2 linked regions of the Arabidopsis thaliana genome follow. The protein of the gene in region 1 interacts with the protein of each later gene in a biochemical or structural test. Each region holds a gene or a part of one and is shown in the gene's direction. Other genes may lie near its edges.

What was found.
Region 2: the proteins of CPSF100 (region 1) and nPAP form a complex in vitro, tested with the Arabidopsis thaliana proteins (one study listed by BioGRID).

What each region holds. Positions count from the first base shown.
Region 1 is NC_003076.8:8,050,493-8,054,248, forward strand, and holds the start of CPSF100 (cleavage and polyadenylation specificity factor 100), read left to right. Parts: upstream 1-1,946; 5' UTR 1,947-2,057; coding exon 2,058-2,206; intron 2,207-2,284; coding exon 2,285-2,453; intron 2,454-2,531; coding exon 2,532-2,628; intron 2,629-2,830; coding exon 2,831-2,957; intron 2,958-3,058; coding exon 3,059-3,177; intron 3,178-3,280; coding exon 3,281-3,375; intron 3,376-3,458; coding exon 3,459-3,610; intron 3,611-3,695; coding exon 3,696-3,753; intron 3,754-3,756. UniProt on the Arabidopsis thaliana protein: CPSF plays a key role in pre-mRNA 3'-end formation, recognizing the AAUAAA signal sequence and interacting with poly(A)polymerase and other factors to bring about cleavage and poly(A) addition. Required for antisense-RNA-mediated gene silencing.
Region 2 is NC_003075.7:15,847,893-15,851,648, forward strand, and holds the start of nPAP (nuclear poly(a) polymerase), read left to right. Parts: upstream 1-1,879; 5' UTR 1,880-2,241; coding exon 2,242-2,376; intron 2,377-2,473; coding exon 2,474-2,551; intron 2,552-2,877; coding exon 2,878-2,985; intron 2,986-3,157; coding exon 3,158-3,220; intron 3,221-3,288; coding exon 3,289-3,450; intron 3,451-3,756. Other genes in the region: PFK6 (phosphofructokinase 6), read right to left, coding at 309-413. UniProt on the Arabidopsis thaliana protein: Essential protein. Polymerase that creates the 3'-poly(A) tail of mRNA's. Also required for the endoribonucleolytic cleavage reaction at some polyadenylation sites.

The sequences.
Region 1 (3,756 bases):
TTTATTTATTAGAAATATAAAGTCCACATGATATTTTCTTCCTTAAGAACTTTAGCTTTAAAAATAGATGAAATTTTTCTGTTGAGCTAAAAGATTCATTTCCCTCTATACATTCAGATTTCTATTTTCGTTTAGTAAATATTTCCTTGTAATTCTACTGTGGTCCACCATTGTAAATTCATTGTTTATGTTTTTGTAAGAATTTTCAATCTGTAAATGTATTGAAATCCAATTTCTGTATTGGTATTAAAAACAAATTTCAGTGACAGCCACAGGCTCACAAAAACAGTTCTACACTACTACTTATCAGTTTCACACGAGAGCTAAGTTTAGTTATGTGCAGTAGACAGCATAGGGCGTAGATAAGGCCAAAAAACAAAAAACAAATGATTAAAAAAAAGTTTTTTTTTTTGCAAGAATAACCATATTTTGATACTTTCTTTTTATTTATTTATAAAAAATGTATTGTATTTTTAGATATTTTTCTAAGTATGGAGATGGGTCTTGATGGGTGGGTCACCAGCTGATGAATTAGAATCGAAAATCACATTCTTAGGTGTCTTTTGGTTTAGGTTCACCGAATCTTCTTAATCTATCTTTAAAGAACCAAAAAAAAACACACACAAACAATTGTCTTCAATCTCTCTGGTCATTTTTCTTATGAAAACAAGTATAATAATTACATTTATTTACACTCTTTAACTAATCAACCTATTATTACCTAACTACAACTTTCATATTCATATCAAGAAAGAAAGGTTTGATAGTTAGTTATGGTTGTTATCCTTAGCCATTATGATTTTGGTTTGGTCCTCACGGGTCCTCCTTCACCAAATGCATATGTTTTTTTTTTTTTTTTTTTTTTTTTTGTGTTGCCTTTGAAGTGAAGCTATCACAATTTTGAATCAAAATGTTGTTTGGCTTTCTAACGTGCATCAATAAAATCAGGAAGAACTTATCATTCGTCACAATCAACATACCAGCTACTTGTTTCTTATTGTCCATCATATTCCTAACAAATGATATATATAGTTCATCTCGAACTATTGAATTATTAAGTATTACGCAACACACCTATGTCAAATGATCTGAACTTCGATACTATATCAGAATTCAAATACGTTTAATTCAAAATTAACTGAAAGTGAATTCATTCATTAATATCTCTTATTTCATAGAAGAGATTTCCAACATTTTTTTACCATTGTAGTGATCTTTTAGTTGCAACATTTACTAATTAGTGATAAGAGAGCACACATGTGGGAGAATTAGGCACGTGTGAAGAGCTAAAGAGAAGCATGAGAAGAATAAAAGAGTATAAATAGGGATATTAGAGAGGAATTATAGAGATTATCCTGCGTGATCATTGATGTTGTGAGGAGAATTAGGGCTTGTGTGCTATGTTCTTGATGATAAGAGATGAGCATTGTAACTCCGATCTTATCAATATAGGGTTTTGATTCATTGTAATTGGGATTTACGGATAATAAATACAAAGGTTTATGCGTAAGTTCTTATCAACTTGTAATGGTCTTCTGGTTGCACCATATGCTCATAGATCTAGTGTATTTGGTACAACTGCTTAAAAGTTTTTGATTTACTCTAGTATATTTAACGGAGATTTGCCTATTTTTCCTTAAGGGTGTGTTTAATGTTTTCATGTTGAAACAATGAATGAAGTTTCATGTAATTTTAAATGAATGAGCAATCATAATGAAACCGATCTACTTTGAAGTTTGAACATACAATAGAATTGACTCATATGCTTATAATGGACTCACCATCTATGTTTCACTGCTACCACAACATTTTTTGGTAAAAGATTCACTAATCCCTCTTTGTGTTGGTTAAAAAATCAAGGTAAAGAGAGAAAAAATTTCAAAGATTATATGTACCAAATGAACAATTTGAAAAGAAAAGGGTTATTTTAGAAGTAAAAGGAAATATATGGACCGGGGAGGTTATTATTACAGAATTAAAAAACCCTCTTTCACGGTGGCTTCTTCTTCTTTAGTTCATCGGAGAAATTTTAGGGTTTATATCGGCGAACGGAAAAGATGGGTACTTCGGTGCAAGTGACTCCTCTCTGCGGAGTTTACAACGAGAATCCTCTCTCCTACTTAGTCTCCATTGATGGTTTCAACTTCCTCATCGACTGTGGTTGGAACGATCTCTTCGACACATCGCTCCTCGAACCTCTCTCCAGGTTTCTCTATCCTTATTATCTACATTTCCAGAATTCACCAATCTAATTTGTTTTGAATTCGATTCTTCTGGTTTACAGGGTTGCTTCTACTATAGATGCAGTTTTGCTTTCTCATCCAGATACACTTCACATTGGTGCTCTTCCTTATGCTATGAAGCAGCTTGGACTCTCCGCTCCTGTTTATGCTACTGAGCCTGTTCATAGATTAGGTCTCCTTACAATGTATGATCAGTTTTTGTCCAGGAAGGTGAGATTTTGTTAACTACTGGAGTGGTTATTTTTGCGCAATTGTCTGCATTGTAACACGATGATCTTACTGTTGCAGCAAGTATCCGACTTTGATCTGTTTACACTGGATGACATAGATTCTGCTTTCCAGAATGTGATCAGATTGACTTACTCTCAAAATTACCATCTTTCTGGTATGTGGTTTTAGTGATTTCTAGGCTCTATAGCAAACTAGAAACAATTGACACTTATCTCAAGCAAGTTTGATCTGCATTATCTATGATCTCATATCGGGAAGGAGTTCTTTGACACACATTGAGTATTTGGTTGTTGAAACCTAAGTTATGACTTCAAAGATTGTTAGGATGTCTCAAGGTTTTATCGTTGCCCTATCAGGAAAGGGAGAGGGTATTGTAATTGCTCCTCATGTTGCTGGACACATGCTGGGAGGTAGCATCTGGAGGATAACAAAGGATGGGGAGGATGTTATATATGCTGTTGACTACAATCATCGGAAAGAAAGGTACATATGTTCAGATTTTATCTTATTTGAAGTTCGAGTAATGTTCATAACAGTAAGTAAAGATGTGGACTCGTGATACTGAATTGTATATCTTAATTCAGGCATTTGAATGGAACTGTTTTACAGTCTTTTGTTCGGCCTGCTGTTCTGATAACCGATGCATATCATGCTCTTTATACCAATCAAACCGCAAGACAGCAAAGGGACAAAGAATTTCTAGGTTAGCTTGTAGCCCAATATGTGTTGTGTATCTTCTATAGTATTTAAAACAGCCCGCTTCTAACTGCCAGAAACATGTGTGCATGTCCCCATTTATCATTCAGATACCATTTCAAAACATCTTGAAGTTGGAGGAAATGTTCTATTGCCAGTAGACACTGCGGGTCGTGTCCTGGAACTTCTCTTGATACTTGAACAGGTAATAGAACCGCTTTGAATGTATCATGCTCTTAGTTAATGTTCAGCTGTTTTTTAAAGACTGGATATTGATCAAACCTGCAGCATTGGTCACAAAGAGGTTTCAGCTTTCCCATTTATTTTCTCACGTACGTGTCATCTAGCACAATTGACTATGTTAAGAGTTTCCTCGAGTGGATGAGTGACTCCATTTCAAAGTCCTTTGAGACTTCACGTGATAATGCCTTTCTATTGAGGTAGATTTTCTTATAAGAATGCCTTATTTGTGCCGTCGTTTGTTTAGAATACAGAAGACATCACATGAAATTTAAACACATGCAGGCATGTCACTCTGTTGATAAACAAGACTGATCTGGATAATGCTCCACCTGGTCCAAAGGTT
Region 2 (3,756 bases), on another chromosome or scaffold:
TGCACCAATCAATTTCCACGTTGACATTGATTTAACATTTCACATTTGTATGCACTAATACGAATATAAATATTTATGTAATTCTCTCCCTGATAGAGACCAGGATCTCATCAACAGTCCGAATCAACATATAGGCTAAAAATAGGCGAAACCAATTATACAAACACAACTTTTGCATTTGCTATACACGAACCACCAAATCGGCAACAATATCAAATTCGTAAATCGTATAACCACCGATCCATGAAAATGTCGATTTCAAAGAATAATCGATGGAATCGTATAGAGATAGAGAGAGGAAGTAGTACGGGGAGATCGAGAATGTAATCGCTCAAATGAGGAACATCTTCGAGTACATAACCAGCAGGTCCTTCCACCAACTTAATCTGCTCGTCCACGCCATTAGAAGCCATCGAAGAAAACCTTATTCTTCTGAGTGTTTTTCTCTCCGGTGACGTAAAGCGACTGTGAATTTGAAGCGTATGTATGTATGTGAGTTTTAATTCTCAGAGCTCAGAGTGGTATAGAAGTAAGGAACGAGAAAGCGACGTCGTTTTGGCTCACCGTTACTTTATGATATACGGACATTACCGAAATACCAGCGTAAACGGCGGCTGGTTTTTCCTTTTGTCAATTTCCGGTTTTCAGATAATTGATTCGTGGATAAATGCAGAAGTATGGATAAAATCTCATTAATTATCTTTATTATACCTTTAAAGAAAATGACAAAAATTAAACGATAAGAATATCTTAATATTTACGAAATATATTCTTAGTAATTTCTCTATTTGGTGTCAAAAATATATAGGCAATTTTTCTATTCTTTAATTTCTTAAGATTTTTTTTTTTTAAAATCATTTTTTCTTAGTATATGGTATTGTTCATGACAAAGAGAGAAATATCATATCCTGTTGAGAAATAGCATTTATAAAAACTGATTTGTTTTGTAAAAATAATAATGTCAAGCTAATGTATAGATCGAATAGTTATTTTAGCTTAAAAATCAAATTTCTGAGAGGAGAAAATTTATCTTACAAATCTTTATAACGCTTAAGTATAAAAAAAAGATCTTAATACACAATTGTCCGAAAAAATCATTTTTAAACTATCAAATTATCGGTTTAAACTTTTTATTTGATTAACAAATCAATCTAAACTTTACAAATCTTCATGAATCAATTTAGGATTTAAATATCAAACAAGTGGATTCTAAAATAATAAAGTTTCCTCTCCAATTAGGAGTATAATGAATTACATATTTGGAAAGAAAAGATTCGAGTATTAATAAATTTTAGATGAATTTGATAAGTTTTAGACAGTTAGGAAAGTTGTTACTATTTGTTATTAAAAATATTTGCAATCTCCCTCACTAAAAAAAAATAATATTTGCAATCTCACAAAACCATGAGAATTGGGTCTTTGTAATTTTTAATCAAGGAAATCCATTATTACATCACTAATTGAAATTCATGTTTGTATATACAGCCTAAACTTTTGTATATACAGCCTAAACTTTTGTATCTTTTATTTAAAAACACTTTAATATGTTAAAATCCAATATAGTATCAAAATTATATCAAAATCTAATAAACAACACACCAGTTTTCAACTTTATCAATTAAAATTAACAGATGGTGATTTTAAATCAGTTGGTTTCCATCGACACATGATTTCTAGTTACCAATAATCCCACTAACCCCATTAAAATCTTTAAATTAAAAATCTGAACAAAATTATCTAATTTAGATTTGTTTTCAAAATGATTACAATGTTTTCTTGTTTTGAACGGAGACTTATCGGCTCCCTCCGTAAAATAATCATACACATTAATCCACTAATCAAAATTTAATTATAAAATCGAATCGCCGTGTACCTAATATCTTCCCCAACCTTTGCTCTCTCTCTCTCTCCATCTCCCTCATACCTCCTTCTTCTTCTTGATCCATCATCTCTCTCTCTTTCTCTCTTCTCTCTGTTCCTAGTCCATCGATTTAACCTCTTTCAGATTCTCCTTCTTCTTTGACTTTTTTTGACACCGTAGTCTCTTTCCCCTTCCATCGATTTAGGGTTTCCGATTTTCAAAATCTCCTTTTTATTTGTTTCCTCTCCTTGTGCAATTCCCGTCTCGAATCCATCTTGACCTGGGGGTCTGATCCGATCTCCCTCTAATCATATCGTGAAGCGAGATTATGTTTTTGTGCTGCGCTTCTGCTTTGATCGCTTAGGATTATCAATCGTGTTATGATGGTGGGTACTCAAAATTTAGGTGGTTCGTTGCCGCCGCTGAATTCTCCTAAAAGCTATGGAATTACGAAGCCGCTCTCTCTTGCTGGGCCTTCTTCGGCGGATATTAAGCGTAATGTGGAGCTGGAGAAGGTAAAGCTTTGTTTTTTTGTTTATACAAAAATTGTTCCACTGTTTAAAGGATTCGTTGATTTGGCTTATCTGATGTGTATTTTCTTATATGCTCAAGTACTTGGTTGATGAGGGACTCTACGAGAGCAAGGATGATACCATGCGGCGAGAGGAAGTTCTAGGACGCATCGATCAGGTGACTCAGCGTGTCTCGTTGATTGTTTGTTCTGTATATTTACAAGTGTTATCTTTTGATGGTTGTGCTAATTGGGTGTCTGAATCGACAAGAATAAAATTATTGTGTTTATAATGGTCTTTTAGGTTTCATTGTATTGGTTCTTACTCGTGTATGGTTGTTGATTTTGGGCTAAGCATAGATCATAGTTCAATATGAAATAGACTGGTCAGGCATATGTTCTTATGTCCATTGATTTACTTTGCTGTTTTTAAGTTTCTTCACATGCTGTTCATTGTGCTATTTGTCTGAAACTATCAATCTTATCTCCCACCTTTTTTTTTTAGATTGTAAAGCACTGGGTGAAACAGTTAACGCAGCAAAGAGGATATACTGATCAGATGGTGGAAGATGCAAATGCTGTCATTTTCACCTTTGGATCCTACCGACTTGGCGTAAGTGCTACTTGTTTACCGCTTCCTTGCTTTTATCTTGAAGCTAAAATGCGTATAATATGTTTTTTGCTATATGTTTGTGGATTACTCGAGAGATCGCTCTGTTTTTGTCTATGCAAATGCAATCTTAGTCTCTGAGGCTGAACCGACTTCAATTTTGTTCACTTTGCAGGTGCATGGTCCTGGGGCTGACATTGATACTTTGTGTGTTGGGCCATCTTATGTTAACCGGGAGGTGACTCTTGCTACCACTTATTGATGCAGAAGTTTGATTCTTTAGTTCTTAACACTTACTCTTTACAGGAGGATTTCTTCATCATCTTGCATGATATATTGGCTGAGATGGAAGAAGTGACTGAGCTCCATCCTGTTCCCGATGCCCATGTTCCGGTCATGAAATTTAAGTTTCAAGGAATACCGATTGATCTGCTCTATGCTAGCATATCACTTTTAGTTGTGCCACAGGTAATTTTCTGTGAATTTATTGTATCTTTCTTTGTTTTTGCTGAAGCTGTAGGGTCTGATAAATTTATATTAGCTTGTATATATTATGCTATATGTTGTGCTTGTTTGCATGTTGATGGAGACAGATAGTGTATTACTCATCCTCAATGGCTTATATAGTAAACAAATTTATTTTAGTAGTTTCTGGCTTGAGAGAGAGATCTGAAAAGTTTGCTGGCTATTTTGGTGCATCGGTTTTGATTTTTATATGAAAACTGAGCCCGTGAGCTGTCATGGTAGATTACAATCTCTTGCTGAATCAAATTT